Linked DNA regions of Elephas maximus indicus. The protein of the gene in region 1 binds, or shares a complex with, the protein of each later gene. Links are inferred from orthologs where the notes say so. Each region holds a gene or a part of one and is shown in the gene's direction. Other genes may lie near its edges.

Region 1 (7,963 bases):
CCACAGCCCCAAAGTCACTGCTGACCTCTGGAAGCAATAGAGATATTTAAAGGGGAAAGCCTTGGGTATTGTCAGCACACACACCTGCCATTCAAGGTGCTGGATGGCAGGCAGAGGGCCCATCTATTGGGGCAGGACTTCAACCTGCTGCTCCCAGCCTCTCCCAGTAGTATGCCATGCTGTACCACCAGGATCCTGCCTAGCCTCAGATAGGAGAGAACAGCTACAAGCCCTGGAATGGGTCACTCACACAACATACAGCATTAAAGCTGTGGGGCAGGGAAAGCTCATACGTCAGAAGGTTCTTCTCCATGACCCCTGCCCTTCCTGGGGGCTCCAAGACAAGTCAAAGGTCCTCTGGGTCATGCTTGGGGTGGCCTGGTGTCTTGGTTACCTCTTCTTCCTCCTCTTCATGCTCCTCCTCCCCTTCTGTTTTCTCTTGTCTATCTGTGATCTCCTCCTTTCCAGTCCAAGTTTCCTCTAGACACGCTAGGTTGGGTGACAGAAGATGGTTTAGATATTGGTCCTGGAAATAGGGGAGGTTGTGACCTCGCAGGAAAGGAGCCCAGCCCACACACTTACCAGTTTCTGCAGCTGGAAGCACGTGCCTTTTACAGAGAAAATGCTGTAGGGGCTGCTCCTGGTGGTGGAAGTACCAGTCTCCCACAACGTCTTCGAACTCCTCCAGCATTGTTTCACACTAGTCAGGAGGAAGGGCCAAAAGGGCGTCTGTTCTGCTGGGCTTCGGAAACCCTCCTCTCTGCTCTCCACTTCCTGTCTCCCCTATCCCACCTGGCTGACCTTGGAGAGGCAGGCAGCCTGGGTTTTAAGCTTGGCTTACTAGATGTGTGATGCCCATTCACTCAATAAACATTTCCTAGCACCTACTCTGTGCCAGGGAGTTTATTGAACTTCTCTGAATCTCAGCTCCTTGCCTGTAAAATGGGGAATGGTAATAGTACTTGCCTCAAGAGGTTGTTGTGAGGGTAAATGAGGCAGCAGCTGGGAAGTATGGCCTCCTGAATCTGGCACATAGCAAGTGCTCAATAAGCAGTTAAAAAACCAAATCCATTGCCATCGAGTTGATTCCAACTCATAGTAGCCCTATAGGACAGAGTAGAACTGCCCCATAGCGTTTCCAAAGAGCAGCTGGTGGATTCCAACTGCCAACCTTTTGGTTATCAGCCGAGCTCTAATCAGAGCTCCCACAATAAGCCGTAGGGGTTATTTATTAGCCTCTGTTATCACTTCTTGGTATTCTCCCAAGCCCACTTCAATTCACGGTAGTCTTCATTTTACCACTTCTGCCCTCTTCTCCCTGCTCAGAGGTAGACGTCTCCTACTGTCAAATTCTAGGACCCAGTTCTCCTCTCAGGTCCCCTTCTCCCCCCTCGGGCAGCACAATATCTTATCCTACCTGCTTCTTGAGGAACGTGACCTCCACACTGGGCTCGTCCCACAGCTCCAGAGGTATCCCCAGATCCACCTTCACCCCCTTCTGAACCAGGCCTCTCAGCGTTGCCATGGTCTGACTCTGGCCCTGAGAGATGAGGAATTTGGGTTCAGAGATGTAGTGGGGTGCGGGGGTTAGATGGGTGCAGAGTGGGGCACTTGCCCCGAGATGCAAGTTGAAGGGGGTGCCAGATGACATGCGGAATAACATTTCGAGGCGCCACAAATATGAAAACTGGCTCAGCCAGACAAGAGGCGATAAGGTGTTTCTGCTGACAAGTTGCCACTATCGAAGGCTATGCATCTTGAAATTGGGGTGGGGACACAACTTAGAGATCGCCTCTGGGTGCTCAAATTTGGGGAAGGCATGTAATATAGAGATTGCCCCTGGGTGCTTGAATGTGAGGGACTCCAAGCAACTTAGAGATTGCCCCTGGGCACTGGTTACGCTCACTATACCCCTGTATGGGATCAGCCTGCTGGCCACCTCTTTCTTCCTCTTTCCCACCATATCCACTTTGTCAACTACTGGAGACTGAGGAGTGAATTCCATGAAGGTGAGAGGGGGGAGTCTGATGATGGGAAGGGGACACTGGAGATGGGGAGTGATGGGCAGACATCTCTTGTGGACCTCAGGGAATATAAGTCTTTGTCTCTAAGAGGTGGGATCCCCCACCATGGCTGCCCTGGAGAAGGGTCTGACCTTGGCGTATCTCAGTGAACCCTTGCGTTCAGCATGAACACTGTAATCTAGGATCCGCTCACATAAATTCTCCAAGGCCTCTTCCAGTCTTGTCTCCCTGTGGGAAGAGGGGAAATAAGGATTCCCTGGATGCTGTAGGAGTTCTCAGGGCTCTTACAGTGAAGGGACACCAAGGAAGACTCACGAAATGCTGTAAGGGACGTGTCTCTTCCTCTTGCCTGTGTCCAGCACCTGCCCCAGCTCCAGCATCTCTCGAGATCGACCAGTGCGGCTCAGCTCCTCCTGTAGCTCCAGGCTCAGCAGCTTACAGACTTACGGAATAAAGACGTTCAAGGAGATGTGAGAGAAAAACAAACACACCAGCACCTCATTCTGCAGATGACCAAAGGCAGCACAGCATGACGGTTAAGTATAGGCTCTGGGGCCAGTCTAACTGGTAGAATCCTGGCTCAGCCACTTAGTGGCTGTGTGACAATCTTGCTGTGCCTTGGTTCTTCATCTCTAAAATGGAGATAATGAAAGTATCTCCCTCAAAGGGGTACGGCGAAGATGAAATAAGTTAATATATGTAAGGCCCCTAGAATAATGCCTGGCACACAGTGAGCACTGTATATACGTTTGCTGTTATTTTGCAATTATTTATTGAGTGACTTTTGTATGCACACTAATATAGACAGCAATAAAACCCACAATCCCTATCCATGGGACATGTGACACTGCCAGTGTAGACAGACAGATGATGACAATATGGTGCAATGGACTCTACACTAGGGATTCAGATAAAGAGACATCCTCATGAGGAAACACAAAATTCATTCAACAGTGATTTCCTGAAGAGCAAACATCACTCCTGCTCTGCCACAGTATTTCCGGCACCTAGCACGCGACCTGGTACGTGGTGGGTCCCAATAAAAGCGTATGACCAATACAGAAGTGACAGGCAAACTAAATACTGGAGCAAGTAACAAAAGTGCCTAAAACGTACCAGGTGCTATGCTAGGGCTTGGAATACACAGACACACCCTGTCCCTCAAGGAGCATGATACAGTGGGAGGTGACACATGAGGAAAAAGACTTCCAGAGGAGGTAATGTTTAAACTGGGTCTTGAAGAATAGGTAGGTGCTTACCAGACACAGAAGGAGAGGGTCACTCCAGGCAAAGGGAAGAACAATGTGCAAAGGCAAGAGGTGCAAGAGGATAAGGCAGAGTCGGTGACCGGTGACCAGTGAGAAGTTCAGTGTGGCTGGGGCCGTTTTGGGATAGGGGATGGGAAAACGGAAATATAAGAAAGGTTACAGCAAAGATACTTAAGACACTATGCCCAAAATGTTAGCTGTATTCTGATCACAGTAAGAGGATTGTAGGGGTGTTAAAATAAGGACAAGCGGATGGACACGCTTATGTCTGTGTTCAGAAAGGATGATGGATGTTGCCGGGTGGAGAGAAGAGTGGGGACACAGAAGTGAAGGGAGAAGAGAGCTTAGGACCAGAGTCTGAGAAACACTGCTACTGATATGCAGTAAGGGATGAGGTGAAGAGAAAAAGGATCCAGGGAAGAAATTACCATCAGGAAGGCAACAAACTAGGGACACCAGGGCACCTGATTACCCAGCTCTGAAGTGCCCCTCCCAGGTTGGGCCCACACTAACGCAGCCACAGAAGATGCTGCTTGCTGTAAAATCCATACAGTGCACACCCTCTACAAGGCCTCACATCATAGGGAAACTCACAGCAGTGTGACCTCCTCTTTGGTTTATGAGCTTGAAGGGTGGAGTTGCTCACTCCCAGCCCCCCTCAGGGGTGCACAGGTCCTGTAATTTGAGAGCCTCTCTGTGGAGCTGGGACAGAGGATGTCCACAGGTATGAACCTCACACGTGGCTCCGGCACGCCCTCCAGATTTAGGTCCAGTGACAAGGGGCACGCACACACACACACCCGAAGATGCTCAGTACGCAGTAGGCAGTCCTGGGCATAGTCCCTGAAATACAATTCCCACAAACCATGGGGGCCCAACCTCGCAAGACAAAGGGGGCTCCCTCTGGATGTCTCATGGGAACTGTACTGCCATAGTCTTGAGATCGCACTATGCCATTCCCTTCCTTGATCTCTTTCGAATTTTGCCAAGTTCACCGAACCGCCTACAGGCATTCAAGAAGGTCGAGTGACCTATCCATCACGGTCCCTTTGGTCGTATCAGTCCTTTCTTTAACACCCCTGCAGTCCTCTTACTGTGAGCAGAATACAGCCAATGTTTCTAGCAATAGCATACAAGTCTCTTTACTGTATGGCCCCAACCTTTCTTACATTCCCATCCTCCCACCCTCATCCCAAACGCGCTCCCAGCCGAGGGAAGTGCGGCAGGGGGATACAGATAGATGCTACTCCCTTTAGATACCTTCGCATTTGCTGGGCAAGCGTTCTAAGTCATCGTCCTGCTCCTTCGGCGTTCTGGCCCGAGCCCCAAACACTGCCAAAACGAAAAACAACGTCCCCAAACGCACAGGTCCCATGACAAAGTGCGGTCCACGAACAACCATTCTTCTATTTCCGAACCAACTTTTGCAAGGCAGCGGGCCCTTTAAATTCAGAGGGAGGGGTGGACGGCTGCTGGAAATCCAGCCTAGCAGCTCGAGCGCGTGCGCAGTGCCCACCGAAGGAGGCGGGGCCTTACGTACTTCTGGGCTTCCCCGCCCAGGTTTGGTGGCGCCTCCTGAAGGTCCTGGCCGACGGGTAGTGAAGGAATAAATCAGAGTAATTGGGACGGGAGAGAGTACTCCTTCCCACATATTTAGAAACAGTGTTTTTATATCATTTCAGGACGTAAGGCTAGGGGACTCGTTCCAGCTCCGCGGAGGGGCCGTGTATTGTTGTCCTCTGCCCGGACCTGCTCCCTAGAGGGGGCGGGCCCAACATGGCGCCCAGCGCCGGGTGAGCGGCGCTTTGGCGGCGGTGAGAGACTTTGCAGGCTTGGACGCTCGGCTGGCGGGGGTGGGTCTGAGTGATACCAGGGACAAGACCCCCAAAAGGTCCCTTGTGGGGACCGGCAAGAGGACGGTTGGTTGTGTGTCCCTGCGCGTGGGGACCCCCGTGTGTGTGTTTGCATTGAAGGATGTTGGGGGAGATGGGGTGGGCTCTCTGAGCCTTTGCTCGCACTGTACCCATTGCCTGGGGGCCTTCCCCCCACTTTCTCTGCTGGGAAAACTACACAGCCTGGAAGACGTAGGTCAAGCCAGCCCTCTGGGAAGCCTTCCCAGTGCCTCCACTGATCTGAGGGGCTTCTGAGGCTGTAGGGAGTTTTATGAGCCCTCATTGCACACCTGTATCTATAGGGCCCAATGCGGGGGTAGCAGAAAGACAGATACGTAGTCAACCTCCAGTGGGAAACGTCCTGAAAAGGACCAGATTCTGGGGACAACGGCGGGGGAGTGATTAGTTCTGTTGGGGAGTGGGGTGGCTTCGCTGAGGGGAGGTGAGTACCGCTGGATGTTGGAGGATTGATAGGAATTCTTGTGTACCCAGCACCAGGCACAGCATATGTGTTGAATAAATGTGTTCCCTACAGGTACATAAAAATGTAGCTATAAAATGGGAGAGGAGACCTGGGATGGTTTGAGAAGAGCCAAATTCTCCTGCGTCTTGCACCTTCCCCGTCTCCAGTCCTCCTTCACGCTCCCCTGCCCCCCAAGTCGGTGCTGAACACTATTGACCTGTATCTTCCTAATGTACAGCTCCAAGTATACTACTTTTGATCACAGAGTAGATTCCAAGCTTGGGCCTGTATCTTATTCATCTTGGCAGTAGTGATGCCGAGTATTTATTGAACACCTACGTGGTATATACAAACATCTCTAAGCCTTACAATTCATTCAAATATTTATTGAGGGTCTACCTTGCCTTAGTCATTGCCTGGGCTCTTGGAATACATCAGTGAACATAACAGACAAATATCCCTGTCCTCATGGAGCTCACATGGTGGTAGTAAACAATAAGAAATTATAGAATATATTAGATGTTAAATGCTGGCGGGGGGGGGGAGGGGAGGAACAAAGTAGAGCAGAATGAGGGTGGGATGGAATGTTAAATAGAGTGGTCACAGTAGGCAGCCAAGCAGATATCTTGGGGAGAGCATTCCAGGCCAAAGGAACAGAGCAAAGACTATAAATCAAGAGTATGCCTGGCAGCTTCAAAAAACAGCAAAGAGGACAGTGTGGCTGGAGGTGGAAAAGGGAAAGAAAGGAAGTCAGAGATAAAATGAGGATGGGGCAAACCATAAAAGCCCCTGTGGGCCATTATAAGCATTTTGGATTTTACTATAAGGCAAATGGGGAGCCATTACAATATTTTGAGCAGATAAATGACATGATGGGGTTTACATTAGATGGAATTATGTTGGCTATTAGGAATAGTTATTAGGAATAGATGTAGGTAGGTGAGGGTAGAAGCTGGGAGACCTTGTTAAGAAGTTTTTGAAGATATCCTGGGAAGAGATGATGGTGACGTGGGCCAAGATGTTGGAAGTGGGGGAATCAGAGTGGGTCCGATGTGAGGGTTCAGATAAAGATTGAGTGCCTGCATGGACGGCACTGCTGTAAGTGAAGATTAGGAAAGCTGAGCCTGGAACAGGTGGGTAGAGATCAGGAGTTCAGTTTTAGTGGAGCTTTTGAGGAGGCAGTTGAGTATACAAGTCTAGAATTGGGGAGAAAGATCTGGGCTGGGGATATAAGTTTGCCCCATAGAAGTGGTTGAGATCACCAGAGAAGTAAATGTAGCTAGAGAAGAAGACCAAGGACTGAGCCCAGGACACTCCAAAATTAAGCAGACAGAAAAGGAAAAACCAGTAAAGGAAACAGCAAGGGAGTAGCCAGTGAGGTAGGAGGAAAACCGAGTGCAGGTAGTCTGGCAGTCAAGTGAAGAAAAGTATTTTCAGAAGAAGGCAGTGGTCAACTGTATACTGCTGAGAGGTCAAGTAAGGTGAGAACCTTGGAGTTAGTGATGTGGAATCGTTGGTGACCTTGACAAGAGCAGTTTCAGGGACATAGTGGGGGCAAAAGCCTGCAGTGGGTATAAGAAGGAAAGGAAAGGAATTAGAAAGGAGTTCAAAGTCAACTCTTTCAAGGAGGTTTTTTTTTTTGTGTGTGTGCTTTAAGTGAAAGTTAACAAACCAAGTCAGTCTTTCATACAAAAACTTATATACGCTTTGTTATATACTCCTCGTTGCTCTCTCTGTAATGAGACAGCACAATCCTTCCCTCCACTCTATTTTCGTATCCATTCAGCCAGCTTCTGACCCCCTCTGCCCTCTCCTCTCTTCTCCAGAGAGGAGCTGCCCCCAACATCTCATGTGTCTACTTGATCCAAGAAGCTCATGCTTCACCAGTATCATTTTCTGTCCTATAGTCCAGTCCAATCCATGTCTGAAGAGTTGGCTTTTGGCATGGTTCCTGTCTTGGGTTAACAGAAGGACCATGACCTCTGGGGTCCTTCTAATCTCAGTCAGACCATTAAATCTGGTCTTCTTATGAGACTTTGAGGTCTTCATCCCACTGCTCTCCTGCTCCCTCAGGGATTCTCTGTTGTGTTCCCTGTCAGGGCAGTCATCGGTTGTAGCTGGGCACCATCTAGTTCTTCTGGTCTCAGGCTGATGTAGTCTCTGGTTTATATGGCCCTTTCTGTCACTTGGGCTCATAATTACCTTGTGTCTTTGGTGTTCTTCATTCTCCTTTGCTCCATGTGGGTTGAGACCAATCAATGCATCTTAGATGGCTGCTTGCTAGTGTTTAAGACCCCAGCTGCCATTCTCCAAAGT
Region 2 (8,047 bases), on another chromosome or scaffold:
CAAAGACGAGAAGGCAGGGAGGGGCAGGGAAAATGCATGAATGGAAATGGGGAAGCCAGAGTGGAAATGGGGAGAGTGCTGACATATTGTGGGGACTGCAACCAATATCACAGAACAATGTGTGTATAAATTGTTGAACGGGAAACTATTTGTCGTGTAAACTTTCAACTAAAGCACAAAATGTTCAAAATAAATAAATAAAACCTATTATCAAACGGTCTCTGTAAGAGGAATACAGAACCACACTGAAACTCACAATTTATTAGGGGAAGCACATAAGCTCAAATATTAAACGCACTTTGAAATGTCTAAATACAGAGAAGCTAACAGAGACACAGTGTAAAGAGATGAGGGGATGGGAGGAGGGAACACTACAGAAGCTTGAGCCCACAGCCCCAATCTGGCTTAACCCTATAATTAGTTTGGATTGCAAATTAAAACTTTCAAAATGTGTCCCCAATATTTAAAAACCAAGGTATTTATCCTAAAAACTCAATTTCCAGCAACTTGGAAAGATCTGGCAACACTTGGCTGGAGGTAGGAGAATGCCCTGGAGTAGACAACAGTCTCTGATACATCCACCAAACTGAATTCTGTTCGGTTACTTGTTAGGGATCTGTAGACAATGAAGTTTCTTGTTCCCCTGATAGATCAGTGGCTAGAGGCAGACAAATCGGCAACTACGGTGCACTTGCAAGTGGCCTGTTTTTTGCAAATAAAATTTATTGGAAGCAGGGCTGAGATTAGTATGAGATGAGTGAGGCTGAGTCACTCTTTGAATGTAGGATTGGTTCCTGTCTTTATTTAAAATGCTGACACTTTGTTCATCACAGATGTTTTATCCTGACATTAAATTAGATTTAAAAATACTGTATTTAATATTTAAACAAATATTAAATTAATGTTGATTACTGAGTTTTGTGTTGCCCCCTAAAATTATGCACTCCCCTCACCTAGTCCCAGCATTCTTGTTAAGGGCTTTCAATGACAGTTCGAACTTTAATCCATATTATGGTAAGCAGTTTTTAAATTATCTTCAGCAAAATTTTACTTGAGTGTAACATTAACGATATTGTTGGATAATTAATATGGATCTCTTCCAGTCAGTTGGCCAGGTAATTGTCTTCCAAATTTCTTGGCATACATGAGTGAGCACTTCCAATGCTGCATCCCCTGGTTGAAACATTTCAATTGATATTCCATCGATTCCTGGAGCTTTGTTTTTCCCCAATGTCTTCAGTACAGCTTGAACTTCCTTTGATACCATCAGTTCTTGATCATATGCTATCTCCTGAAATGGCTGAACATCAACAAATTCTTTTTGGTACAGTGACTCTTCTTATGATGCTTCCTGTGTCATTTAATATTTTGCCATAGAATCCTTCAATATTCAAAATTCTCCAATATTGCAACCTGAGGCTTGAATTTTTAATTCCGTTCTTTCAGCTTGAGAAATACTGATTGTGTTCTTCCTTGTTGGTTTTCTAACTCCAGGTCTTTGCATGTGTCGTTACAATACTTGGTCTCCTCGTGCCACCCCTTAAAATCTTCTGTTCAGCTTTTACATCATCATTTCTTCCTTTCACTTTAGCTACTCTACGTTCAAGAGTAGGTTTCTGAGTCTCTTCTGACATCCATTTTGGTCTTTTCTTTCTTTGCTGTCCTCTTAATGGCCTTTTGCTTTCTTCATGTATGATGTCCTTGATGGCATCCCACAACTCATCTGGTCTTTGGCAATTAGTGTACAATGCATCAAATCTATTCTTGAGACGGTCTTTAAATTCAGGTGGGATATACTCAAGGTCACATTTTGGCTCCTGTAGATGTGTTTTAATTTTCTTCAGCTTCACGTTGAACTTGCATATGAGCAATCGATCTTCTGTTCTGCAGTTGGCCCCTGGCTATGTTCTGACTGATGATACTGAGTTTCTCTATCATCTCTTTCCACAGAGGTAGTTGTTCTGATTCCTGTGCATTCCATCTGGTGGGTCCAGTTGCTGTTTATGTTGCTTGAAAAAGGTATTGGTAATGAAGAAGTCATTGGTCTTGCAAAATTCTAACGTGATCTCCAGAGTCATTTCTATCACCAAAGTTATATTTTCCAAATAGTTATACTTCTTTGTTTTCAACTGTGATGGTTAAGATTGTGGGTCAACTTGGCTGGGCAGTGGTTTGGTGGTCGTATGATGTTGGGATCATCCCCCATGATGGGATCTGCTCTAAGTAGCCAATCAGTTGAAAAGGGAAGTTTCCTTGGGCGTGTGGCCTGCACTGAATATAAGCAGACATTCTAGCAAGGCTCATGGCTTTTGCTCACTCTGGATCCTGTAGATGGCTCCTGTTCATCTGACCTCCAATTTCTGGGACTGGAGCTAGCAGCTTATCTGTGGTCTTGCCTGCTGATCTTGGGATTCATTGATCTTCACAGCCTGTGAGCAATAGCCCTCTCTCTGACCTACCGAGCTTGAGTTTGCCATCCCCTGCGGCTATGTGAAGCCCCACAGACTTGGGACATTCCAGTCTCTACAACTGTGTGACCCATTTCCTTGATATAAATCTCTCTATACACTTTACTGGTTTTGCTTCTCTAGAGAACCCAGCCTAAGATACCAACTTTAGCATTCCAATCACCACTAATTATCAATACATCTTAATTGCATGTTTGATCATTTTCAGACTGCAGAAGTTGGCAAAAGTCTTCAATTTCTTCATCTTTGGTATTAGTGGTTGATGTGTAAATTTGAATAATGGTCATATAAACTGGCCTTCCTTGTAGGCATATGGATATTATCCTATCACCAACAGCCTTGTATTTCAGGATAAATCTTGAAATGCTCTTTTTGACAATGAATGCAACTGTACCCCTCTTCAATTTGTCCTTCCCAGCATAGCAGACCATATGATTGTCTGATTCAAAATGACCAATACCAGTCTATTTCAGGTAACTAATGTCTAGGACATCGATCTTTACATGCTCCATTTCCTTTTTTACAACTTCTGATTCTCCTAGAGTCATACTTTCTACATTCCATATTCTGATTATTGGATGTTTGCAGCTGTTTCTTGTCATTCTGAATCGTTCCACATAAGCAAATGAACGTCCTGAAAGCTTTACTCCATCCATGTCATAAAGGTCCACTATACTTCAGGAGGCAGTTCTTCCCCAGTTGTACTTTCAGTGTCTTCCAACCTGAGGGGCTCATCTTCTGGCACTATAACAGACAATGTTCCACTGCTATTCATAAGGTTTTCACTGGCCTATATTTTTAGACATAGATCACCAGGTCCTTCTTCCTAGTCTGTCTTAGTCTGGAAACAGGGAACCATCAGAAATTCAAGCCAGATTCAGAAGAGAACTTGGAACAAGGGATATCATTGCTGATGTCAGATGGGTCTTGGCTTAAAGCAGAGAATACCAGAAAGATGTCTGCCTGTGTTTTACTGACTATGCAAAAGCATTTGACCTGTGTGGATCATAACAAACTATGGATAACATCGTGAAGAATGGGAATCCCAGAGTACTTAACTGTGCTTACATGGAACCTCTACATAGACCAAGAGGCAGTTGTTTGCACACAACAAGGGAATAGTGTGGTTTAAAATCAGGGAAGGTGTGTGTCAGGGTTGTATCCTTTCATCATACTTATTTAATCCATATGCTGAGCAAATAATTTGAGAAGCTAGACTACAGGAAAAAGAATGCAGTATCAGGATTGGAAGAAGACTCATTAACAACCTGCAATATGCAAATGACACAACCTTGCTTGCTGAAAGTGAAGAGGACCTGAAGTATTTACTGATGAAAATCAAAGGCTACAGCCTTCAGTATGAGTTACACTTCAACATAAAGAAAATCCTCACAGCTGGACCAATAAGCAATATCATAATAAAGAGAGAAAAGATTGAAGTTGTCAAGAATTTCATTTTACTTGGATCCACAATCAACGCCCATGAAAGCAGCAGTCAAGAAATCAAACGAAATACTGCATTGGGCAAATGTGCTGCAAAAGACTTCTTTAAAGTGTTAAAAAGCAAAGATGTCATTTTGATGACTAAGGTGTTCCCGACCCAAGCCACGGTATTTTCAATCGCCTAATATACATGCGAAAGCTAGACAATGAATAAGAAAGACTGAAGAAGAATTAATGTCTCTGAATTATGGTTTTGGCAAAAAATACTGAATACATCAAGGACTGCCAGAAAAACAACGAATCTGTCATGGAAGAAGCACAGCCAGAATGCTCCATAGAAGTGAGGATGGTGAGACTTCATTTCACATACTTCGGACATGGTATCAGGAGGGATCAGTCCCTGGAGAAGGACATCATGCTTGGTAAAGTAGACCCAGAAAAAAAAAAACAACGTAAAGTAGAAGGTCAGCAAAAAAGAGGAAGACCCTCAATGAGATGGATTTATACAGTGGCTTCAACAATGAGCTCAAACATAGCAACAACTGTGAGGATGACGCAGCACTGGGCAGTGTTTCGTTCTGTTGTACATAGGGTGGCTATGAGTCGGAACCTACTAGACAGCATCTAACAATAAACAACATGGCAAGCAGCTCAACTTTTTAAGCAGCGACGAGAACAGATTAGATCCGCGTTTTCAGTTTGTTTCTCTCCCCCAAACCCCATTCCCGCACTTACAGCCTTTCTGATTAACATTTCTCTCTAAAACGTTCATTTCATTTACATATCCAAGCTTCTTTTCCCGTAAAATACCGCGGTTTGCCTGCACCTCCTTCTCCACGTGAAAGCCGCACTGGGAATGCCTCAACCATCTGACTTTTCAGGGGCGCAACCTCTACTAGAATTCTTCATAGTCTTTTCCTGCAGTGTTCTAGGCATAAGAGTTGATACCAAAACAATCGATCTGTTCAAATGGGGCGGAGCGCTTTTTCATTGACGCAATCAGTATTTGTTTAGTGCTGCCTCGCCCCGGCGACAGTCCAGAGGGAGGCGGAGCGAGTCCAAAATGGCGATTCTCAGGCTCGCGCGCTCTGTGTTGCTGAAGCTTTGAGGTGGTCGCCGGGGGTCTAGGGGACGATTTCCCCGCCACGGGTGCCCTGGAGGATGAATCGGGGGCTCTGCTAAGGTTAGGCGGTGGGGCTGGAGAGCAGTGGCAGCAAGGACTGCGGTGGAGTCAACGGAACGGGATGTGTGAGAGTTACTCCAGGTCGTTGTTGAGGGTCTCGGTGGCGCAGATCTGCCAGGCGCTGGGCTGGGACTCGGTGCAGCTCAGCGCCTGCCATCTCCTCACGGACGTGCTGCAGCGTTATCTGCAGCAGTTGGGACGGGGCTGCCATCGGTACTCTGAGCTCTGTGAGTACCGGGCTGGGTGAGGGAGGATTGCTTTTGGCAAGTCACGGGTGACACCTTTAGTCTCCCCTTCTGTATCTTAGCACCTACGAGTTTTTAGTTCCTCACTTCTTCCCCGAAATCTGGTATCTCGTTGGCCCCTGACGGTCCGTCGCTTCCATTCACCCTTGAAACTGTAGTCATCCCTTTAATGCCTCTTCCTCATCCGCTAACTTCCCGCCACCAGCCTTGGAGCCCTGTCTCCGCTCCCAACTCCATACCCTTTTATCTCTTCTCTGTTCTGAAGTGTGCATCAGTTTTTCTGATTGTCTCGTTTTTGGTGCATGTAGAACCATCCCCAGAATGTCTTAAACGCTCTTTTACCTTGGTCCTTTTCCTTCCTTCCCCACAAACTACTACAACTAGTTGTCACAGGCGCTCCGTCTACCGGCCGTTTCTTACAAGACTGGCTATTCTTCAGCTCATAACACACTCATTGACAGCTCTGCTCCGTTAGGGACACTGCCTCTTCTTTCTATACCTGTTTATTTCATAGACAGCATCCGTACTCACTGCTTCCCAAACTCGGCTTTGTCAGTTTCACTCATTAGTTTAACTGACATCTCAGTCACCCCTTGACTTCCCTCTTTATGTATTACTGGTTATGAAAGTGTGCTATAGGGATCAGAGCAGCTTATGAGGGTTCTTTAGGTAGTCTGGGCTACAGTATTTATGTTTTCTAGGTGAATGTCTGATAGTATCTATATCTGATAACTTGGAATACTTAGTACAAGTCACACATCTCATTGACGTGAAGGAGGGGGAGGGAAAGGCACTTCCACTCATTTAAATTCCAGGTCATGGTTTTTATAATGGCAAGCTGGGTAACTGAAGTCTTTTGTAGGATATTTTGCTTTGTTAAATTGTTTCCTGAACTCAAGTTATCTGCTCTCATAATTCTGTGCATATTTATGTTATTTGTCACCTTGTTTTGTCATTATCTGTGTATGTCTCTCACCCTTCCTCTCCCTAGCAGACTGTGGATCTCTGTTTATTATATTTGTATTCTATAACCTCGTATGGTGCCATAACATAATAGGCATCCAGCAAATAGTTGTTGAATAAACGAATTAACCAATAACCCACTACCATAATACCTATTGATTTGCTTTTCGAGATCCAGAAATGTGTATTTTTTTGAATCCTTGATTTCAGTGATACTTTGAAGTTCCAAGCTTGGACTAAAAGTAACTCTCATTCATTGTTACCTTGCAAGCGCACTAGCAGCATGGTACCCTCTTGGCTTTTGCTTCCCTCTCTCTCTTCCCAGTCCTTCAGTATATTGTTAGGGGTTATGCATACTCCAAATTAGATTTTTGCTACCAGGTTCCCTAAAAAGGACAGGTTCTGTATCATTAAAAAATAAATAAATAAAATAAAAATATCCCCCGAATACATAGTTAACTTTCCTGCCTTATACACAAACCAGAATATGTGCTGTCACTCACCTGTATTCCTAAGTCATCATTGCTATGCATTATTATGAACCTCTTCCCTAATTACTCAATTTCTATAGTCACTTTCTTGATTTTAGCAAGGATGCAATTACCAGGTTCATTATTCCCCATCGTGGTTTGGTGACTTTTTAAAATGCTAATTCCTGTTTTACTTAATTACAGACTTTTTTTTAATTCCTTTTTTATACTATCAAAATTTTAAAATCAAATTATGTAAACTCAACTTACTGTTATGCAATCTTGTCTTCCACTCCTTTAAAGCCTTTCTGTTTTTTCAACAAATAATTTTTGGGCACCAAGTTAATGATTTCTCAAAGCATTCAGGGACATGCCCTTAGATTGGTTGCAAATCAGACCGTTGTGATCCACAGGGTTTTCATTAGCTGATTTTTGGAAGTAGATCACCAAGTCTTTCTTCCTAGTCTGTCTTGGTCTGGAAGCTCCGCTGAAACCTGTTCAGTATCATTAGCAGTATGCCAGCCTCCGCTGACAAACAGGTGGCGGCTGCACATGAGGTGCATTGGCCAGAAATCCAACCCGTCTGTCCTGCATGGAAGGCAAGAATCTACCACTGAACCACCGCTTACCCATAAAACATGGGGTAGATAATAGGAAAACATTGCATACTCTTAAGTAGAAAAATAGTATGATGAAAGTGATGTTTTAAGAAAATTATACTGGCAATGAAATATAAGAGTTTCAAGTTAAGAGAACTTGAAACTATACTGAGGTAGTAGAAATAGAGAGAATGAAAAATGATCTGAAACCCATGGCAAAAAGGGGAGAAAATACCAGAAGCTTTTGGATTGAGACTGCAAAAGTTAAGGAGGAATTAAAGATGATCATATTTTTTAAACTGAGAATAAGTGCCTGCGGGAGATAGGGGAAATCCTGGTGGCATAGTGGTTAAGTGCTACAGCTGCTAACCAAAAGGTCGGCAGTTCGAATCTGCCAGGCGCTCCTTGAAAACTCTATGGGGCAGTTCTACTCTGTCCTATAGGGTCACTATGATTCGGAATCGACTTGACGGCAGTGAGAGGTGAGCAAGAGATAGGTGAATTGAAATGGATATTGTGTTAGTAAGAGGAAGAATGAGTATTAATTTTACTTTTTACTTTCTAATACGTTATAGAAGTAACCCATGCTCACAGAAAAATTTAAAGACTGTGAAAGTGTTTATAGTTAGAAGTAAAAGTCTCCTGCCTCAACCATTCTTTCTCCTTTCCTTCCAGA
Region 3 (7,306 bases), on another chromosome or scaffold:
AACACAAGACAGCACAAACGGACGCTGACAGATGTCACAAGATCACCGAGAAACACAGACTGCTGGCTACTAGAATCTGAAATAGACAATGAACGACCTCCCCCTAGAGCCACACGCTGAATTCAGACTTCTAGCCTCCTGAAGTGTGAGAAAACAAATTTCTGTTCCTTAAAGGCACCCATTTGTGGCATTTCTGTTACAGCAGCACTAAGAAACTGAGGCAGCATTTTAGGAGTAACTCTCGCTTCTTGACCATCTTCCCTTACTCAGCTACCTAGTAGACGGGTCCTCTTGGAATCTACAACAGAAGGATCTCTGCTAGGTTTTTTTTTTTTTTTTGTAATTGTACTTTAGATGAAGGTTTAGAGAGTAAACTAGCTTCTCATTAAACAATTAATACACATTGTTCCATGACATTGGTTGCCAACGCACAACACATCAATGTTCTCCCCTTCTCGACCCTAGGTTCCCCATTACCAGCTTTCCTGTTCCCTCCTGCCTTCTCCTCCTTGTCCCTGGGCTGGTGTGCCCATTTATCTTGATTTCCCACATGCCCAGATTCTGCCACATCGCAGCCATGCTGGTAAGTTCTTTCTTGCATCTAACCCTGGTTCCTCCTGTGTTATTTACTTTCCTCCTTCCTCTTGGTGTGTGAGGCTCACCCAGGGAAACAAAGCACACACGGGGCCATCAGGAAAGGAAAGCAGCTCTGTGCCGTTCCCACAAGCCTGCTCCAAACCTGCTAGGGTTCCTTGTAAGCAGTACCAGCACCCAAGCTCAGCTAACAGGCTGCTGGTCATGCTCCTTCGTATCACCCAAGTGTGCAAGACCATGAACTCCCTTTGGGAAACTCATAGGTCCCTGACTCAGGTCCACCTTCTACGTGGTCAGTCAAGGAGACAGGCAAATTAAGAACACAGCTTCCCAAGTCAAGTGACCTAGGTTTAAATCCCGGCTCTGCCATTTATTTCTTGCATTCTTCTGAGACAGGTCTATCCCTTTTGTGCCTAAGTTTTTTCTTCTATAAAATGGAGATAATTCCAGTGCCTACCTCATAGGGCTGCTGTGATTTCTGTTGTTGGGTGCCATCGAGTTGATTTCGACTCATAGTGACCCCATGAGACAGAGTAAAACTGTCCCATAGGGTTTTCTTGGCTGTAATCTTTATGGGAGCAGATTGCCAGGTCTTTCTTCTGCAGAGCTATACTGGGTGTGTTCAAACTGCCCACCTTTCTGTTAGCAGCTGAGCACTTAACCACTGTACCACCAGGGCTCCTTCATAGGGTTGTTAGGAGGATTAAATGACAAATTACATCTAAAGCACTTAGAACAAAGCCTGACAATAGTGCCTTAGCTAGTATTCTGAGCCCTCAAAGGAAACAGGAAGGAGAAGGTGCTTGGGAGAAGGTCAGAGTCCTCAAGGATGGACACAGACTGGGATCCTGCTGGAATCCTCAAAGATGCACTCTCTCACTCCATTCTCAGCTTTAGGAGGTACAGGTTCTGACTTATTTACCATTATATCCCCAACACCTAGCCTGTGCGGGCACATAGCATGGCCCCAGCAAAGAGATGAAGAATTAACAAACTGCCGTGTCAGCCGTCTCTCAAAGGAGCCCAGAAATTGAAAAAGCCAAGACTCTGCAGGAAAGCAATGGAGATCCAGTTCTCCTCACACATGCCTGGCCCCAAAGAGAAAGGAGGCGGTAGGCACAGGGCAAGCACTGGTTGGAGGAACCAGTTTCAGAGTACAGGGATGAGGAGTGAGTGCCCCAGGGTTATATGCTCTGTCACATCACCCCCAGGGGGGCCCTTCCAGCTGCACTGTGGTGCTGGAAATTCCTGGGTTCTTGGGAAACAGCCCAGAAACTTGCCTTTCCCCAAATTCATTCCCTTCTATTCATGCCTAGACAGTGGGCTAAAAGAGGAGGAATTTTGTTTGTCTGCATCCCCAGTGTATCCAACGCCCAATACCACAGTCTGTGTTCAGTACAGCTTTGTGGAATGAATAAGTGCCCCCCAAGACTTCCCACCACTTCTCTGCCTCTTGAATATTCATCTTTCAGGACCCAACTCAAATGTCTCTTCACTCTGAAGCTTCCCCAGCCATCTCAGCCAGAGCACTTGGCACCTTATCTCCTGTTCTGGGACCCACACTAGCAGTGGATGAATACCATCGTTGCACCGTCGGCCACCCCCCCCCCGACAATGCCAGGCGTTTAGTAGGTGCTCAATCAATGCTTGCGGTGAGTAAATTAAAGCTCCCTTCGAAAAGGCAACCAATTTCTTCAGTTCTTCCTCAGAAACAGTTTTTCTTCAAAGAGGAAGCTAAGACCATCACCTGTCTACCCATCAGACCCCACAGTGGGAGAACACTGAGGGGTCCCTCCTTTTATGTCTGTGGACTGACCTCCCTCTCTCAACCCTGGCTGGCAGGAGCACCCCCAGGCTCCCTGCCCACCCTGGTTCTCCTCCTCCTCCTCCCCACCCCATCTCTCAGGTATAAAGCACCCGACGGCATAATGAAGCCACCTGGCTTCCAGGTCATCTTGGAGCGGAGCTCTGTGGACGTACAGGTATCTAAAGAACTGGGGCGCTGGGTTCCTACTTAGGAGCTGGACACTCCTCTGCAGCTCCCATGTAGAAGAGCTCACTCAGAAGGAAAATGAGCAGAGCTCTGGGGACAAACGGGGAGATGACGAGAGCAAAGTAGCCCCCATAACCCGCTCGCCTCCAACACTCCCCTAAGGTCTGCAGCCTGAGCTTCGGAGCCTCAGCGAAGGGGGGCGAGACTGACACCCCATCTTTCCTGGTTTCTCCAGCCCCCAATCCTACCTCCTTGGCAGGTGGGTCCCACGAAGCACGGAACGTGGACGCAGACGCCGTCTCTTGCAGCCTCTCGCTTGTGTTCTTGGGGAGAGCCTTGCACCCCTCCCCCGACGCCCAAACTGAGCCGGTCTCCGCCCCCGCAGGCGCGGCGTGTTTACAAGTCAGTGCCGCGCCGCCGATCCCGAGTTGAAAGCTAGCTGGGCAGGAAGTGGGGCGGGGGGGCGGGGGAGACAAAGGGGCTGGGTCCTCGCTCGGCTGCTGTGTGCCCCCACTCGGCGCCCGCGCGCAGCCGGGCGCTCCTCCGACGCAGCACGCCCCCAGTCCGCAAACGCCCGCCCCCCACGTGCCCGGGGCGCGGGAGCGCTCACCGAGGCTCAGGTGTGGGGCCGCGGGGCCGGCGCCGTGCGGGTTTCCACACTTCTGCCTGCTGGGCGTTCGTGAATGATCGACACGCTCCCCAGGAAATAAATAACATTAGGTACAATTTCCAGAACTCTTACCGTATACGTCAGGCACCGTGACAAACCCTGTCTCTGCAGTACCTCATTTTTTTCGCTGGTATCAATCCCAACCCCATTTTACAGATAGAGGAAACTGAGGCACAGTGAGATGAGATACTTTGTCCGAAGTCCCACAGCTGGCAAGCGTTAGGATGCAAACCCAGCGTCCGCGCCCTGCCAGGCACCGGCTAACGACGACGAATAAGGCGCGGAGGAGCGAGGACCCGCGCCCGAAGGGCTCCCAGTCCAGAGGGGCTGATGGGCAAGTGAAAGAAAACCACAGGCAGGCGCGTGGACGCGAAGCCCCTGGAGCGAGGCGGGCCCCCGCAAATGTGTGCGCACTGAGGGCGAGATGTAGAGGGAAGATCTGGACTAGGTGGCCGCCGTCGGGGTCTTCAGGTACAAAATCATAGGGTGCACGCTTCAGGGCTTCCCAAAAGGACCTCATCGGGAGAATCCCCGGGGGAGCGAGATAACAACACGGGTTCTCAGCTCCCCCCTCCACACACACACACCGACTACGTCTGTGGAGCTGGGCTGGCTAAGCCAGGTGTTGCAAATCTGCAAAACGTCGCAAGTGTAGACGACCTCCTGGATCATTCCAGGGGTGTGCTCTTTATGAGAAACTGTTTCATATCGAAACAGATTTCTTTTAATTAGTAAAACCGAGGGCACATATTCTTGGCCCATTTCCTGGCCCACAAGGGCCAGGTGAAACTTTCGCTCTCGGAAGGTCTCGTGAGCCGGGGCAACAGCGGCACCCCGATCCAGGTCTGCCGCCCCGCCCACGTCCACGCCCCGCCCCACGCCCCGCCCCACGCCCCGCCCCACGCCCCGCCCCACGCCCTCACCACCCCGAGACTACAAGTCCCATCTCGCCCTGCGCTCAGACACATTACGCCAGAGCAAGATGGCCGACACAGCGGCTTCAGCCGGGGCTGGCAGCTCCGGAACGGTAAGGGCAGGAAGCGCGGGGCCGAAACCGAGAGAGTCTGGATGTTCCGTAACTTCCCCCTGGCCTTGTCAACAAGCTTATATCCACAAATTCAGCCCATCATAAACTCCAAGTGGAGAAGGGTCTTTCAGGCCGTACGGGCCCCCCCTTCTTGTGACTTGGCGGCGGCCTTCTGAGTTGGAGGACCTGTGTCCTGATTGGCTCGTTCCTTATTGGGGGGTTGGGAATCCGGAACACCTCCTGATTGGTCCGAAGATACCGTTTTCGCCTTTACCTTGGCCAACCAAAGTTGGGAGAGATTCCTGTTTCAAAATACTTAGCTTCCCTATTTTTCTGTGCTTGTACACTTTTATTTATTTATTTTTTGTACACTTTACGCTCCTCTCCCGAGGGTTATGGGTTGTTGTTTTAATTTTCCTTGTTAGTGAAGTGGCGTGGGGATGGGAGGACAAGAGGAAGAGTTCCCCCCGCCCCCGCGATAGGCATGAATTCAGTCCCATCGCGTGTGCTCCTTCAGTAATATATTCTGACAACCTGCTAAGGTACAAAATACAAAACAGCCTTTGTGCACTGAGTTTACGTTAATGGTGGCAGAATAATTAGGAAAAAGATAGGGATAAGGGTTGTACAACATGAACAGTAGTCATTGGCCTTGAATTATGCCCAGAAAAACTATTCAATTGGTGAAAGTTTTGTTGTGTGTGGAGCCCTGCTGGCGCAGTGGTTAAAGCACTGGGCTGCTAATCAAAAGGTCGGCAGTTCAACACACCAGCGGATCCATGGGAGAAAGATGTGGCAGTCTGCTTCCATAACGATTACAACCTTGGAAGCCCTATAGGGTAGTTGTACTCAGTTCTATGGAGTCGGTATGAGTCGCAATCAACTCTATATAGAATTGCAGTGAGTCAGAATCGACTTGATGGCAGTGGGTTTGGGTTTGTTGTATATATTTGCACCACATAACACACACACCGAAAATATCATTCGGGGGGGAAACACCATTATGTGTTATTGGACTTGTAAGTTTTAGGTAGGCAGAGGTTGTCTGTATTTAGACCATGTTCAAGTTGGGTGTTCAGTTATTACTCAATGGGCCCAGATTGCTAAGTCTAAGGGGTGACTACCTTTTATTAGACCCGTTGCCATCCAGCCAACTCATAGTGTCCCTGTAAGACAGAGTAGAACTGTCTGTAGGGTTTCCAAGGCAGTAATCTTTTACAAAAGCAGATTGCCACATCTTTCTCCTGTGGAGTGGCTGGTGGATTTGAACTGCCAACCTTTCCGTTAGCAGCAGAGTCCTTAACCACTGCACCACCAGGGCTCTTTACCTTTTATTAAGCACTGACATACATATTTAGGAAATAACTTTTGCTCGTCATTGACTCTGTGAACTGTGTGATTGCATCCTTGTCCTGCGGATGAAAATTTCTCTGGGTTGCTGATTGACAGAGATCAGGAAGTAAACAGTCCACTAACCCTGCTGATAACTACCATCTGGCCCGGAGACGAACCCTGCAAGTGGTGGTGAGCTCCTTACTGACAGAGGCAGGGTTTGAAAGTGCCGAGAAAGCGTCCGTGGAAACATTGACAGAGATGCTGCAGAGCTGTGAGTACTGGGAAATATCAGGCTTTCTTTGAGTCAACCCAAGTATCTGTTCTGTGACCTGAGTGGTGATAATGTGAGAGAACTTAAGACAAACTAAAGCATAGTAAAGTGATTGACAGGCGTTAGAAATCAGGTAGACCTGGGTGTAAATCATCACTCTGTCACTTAATAGCTTGGGCAAATCACTAAACCTTCTGAACCTCAGTTTCCTCTTTTGTGAAATAGGATAATAATTTACACCCCATAGAATCGTGAGGGTTGGAACCCTGGTCGTGCAGGCGTTAAGAGCTTGGCAGCTAACCAAAATGTTGGCAGTTCAAATCCACCAACCGCTCCTTGAAAACCCTATGGGGCAGTTCTACTCTGTCCTGTGGGGTGGCTGTGAGTTGGAATCAGCTTGACAGCAACAGGTTGGAGTTTTGAAGTTAAGTAATATGTATATGTAAACATTGAATGCTGGGAACGTCATAAGCTCTTGATGATGTGTAGGTGCCCTATTACTGTTGTTTTGCTGTCTGTGCTCAAAGAACAGTCAGTTTTGTTGGAATGCCAAGACAAATTTCCGTGAAATAGATGCCAGCACATTATGTAATCAAATGCTATATTGTTTGATACAAAAAATGAGGATGAATAAATTTTATAGAATGAAATAAACATTTGAAAAAGGAAATGGCGTGAAGTTAAGAAGGCTGTTATGGCCTCACATAGGCTTTTCTGCATGTACAATGGATTTCCCTGTTTGGGACTTTTATTTTGGTGGGGGTGAGGCAGAATGAGGGATGGGGATGTTTAAGATGTTTTTCAGGGATCAACACTTGCGAAAGGAAGTGAGAGAAAGGCTTGGGCAGAGGGAGAAGAACTACAGTGCAGGCCGGACAAAGACCACAGGAAACCTGGAGTATTTCTTGCCCACCAGAGTGTCCTACATCAGGCTGAAATGGCCTGCCTTTGTACTCCAGTCCTGATCAGTCACTGGATGTGGGTGTGATCTCAGGCGGAGCAGCTTTCTGCAGCTGATATTTGGAACTTTTTAAACAGCAAATGTTTTCCTAAAGCAGAAACCTCAAACTTTTTGGTTTCAGGACCCGTTTAGACTCGTAAATGTTGAAGACTCCAAGGAGCTTTTGTATATGTGGGTTTTCTATAGAGCAATACAGATATAAATGTTTGTCACATTAGAACATAACAATGGGCAAGCACAGATTTCATTATCCACCAGAGTCATGTCATCCTCGCAGGGGATGTAGCGTCTGCAAAATTCTACATGAGTGAATGAGAGTCAAAAAGGCAAATATCTTGATTTTATTATGAAAATAGTTTTGACCTTGTGGACTTTCTGAAGGATTTCAGGATCTCCCAGGGGTTCCCAGACCACCGTTTGAGAATGTTTTTCCTGAAGAAATGGGCTAATATGTA

The links.
Region 2: TAF6 (region 1) and TAF3 share a complex: the UniProt entries of both Homo sapiens proteins name them as parts of the TFIID basal transcription factor complex. The link is inferred for Elephas maximus indicus from reciprocal best matches to the Homo sapiens genes TAF6 and TAF3.
Region 3: TAF6 (region 1) and TAF8 share a complex: the UniProt entries of both Homo sapiens proteins name them as parts of the TFIID basal transcription factor complex. The link is inferred for Elephas maximus indicus from reciprocal best matches to the Homo sapiens genes TAF6 and TAF8.

Annotation. Positions count from the first base shown.
Region 1 is NC_064830.1:91,623,998-91,631,960, reverse strand, and holds the start of TAF6 (transcription initiation factor TFIID subunit 6), read left to right. Parts: upstream 1-4,913; 5' UTR 4,914-5,145; exon of another isoform or gene 5,146-5,211; intron 5,212-7,963. Other genes in the region: CNPY4 (protein canopy homolog 4), read right to left, coding at 347-489, 583-700, 1,418-1,540, 2,156-2,252, 2,340-2,466, 4,553-4,694. UniProt on the Homo sapiens protein: The TFIID basal transcription factor complex plays a major role in the initiation of RNA polymerase II (Pol II)-dependent transcription.
Region 2 is NC_064822.1:50,500,722-50,508,768, reverse strand, and holds the start of TAF3 (transcription initiation factor TFIID subunit 3), read left to right. Parts: upstream 1-4,963; 5' UTR 4,964-5,155; coding exon 5,156-5,321; intron 5,322-8,047. UniProt on the Homo sapiens protein: The TFIID basal transcription factor complex plays a major role in the initiation of RNA polymerase II (Pol II)-dependent transcription.
Region 3 is NC_064819.1:106,460,352-106,467,657, forward strand, and holds the start of TAF8 (transcription initiation factor TFIID subunit 8), read left to right. Parts: upstream 1-4,222; 5' UTR 4,223-4,239; coding exon 4,240-4,284; intron 4,285-5,733; coding exon 5,734-5,890; intron 5,891-7,306. UniProt on the Homo sapiens protein: The TFIID basal transcription factor complex plays a major role in the initiation of RNA polymerase II (Pol II)-dependent transcription.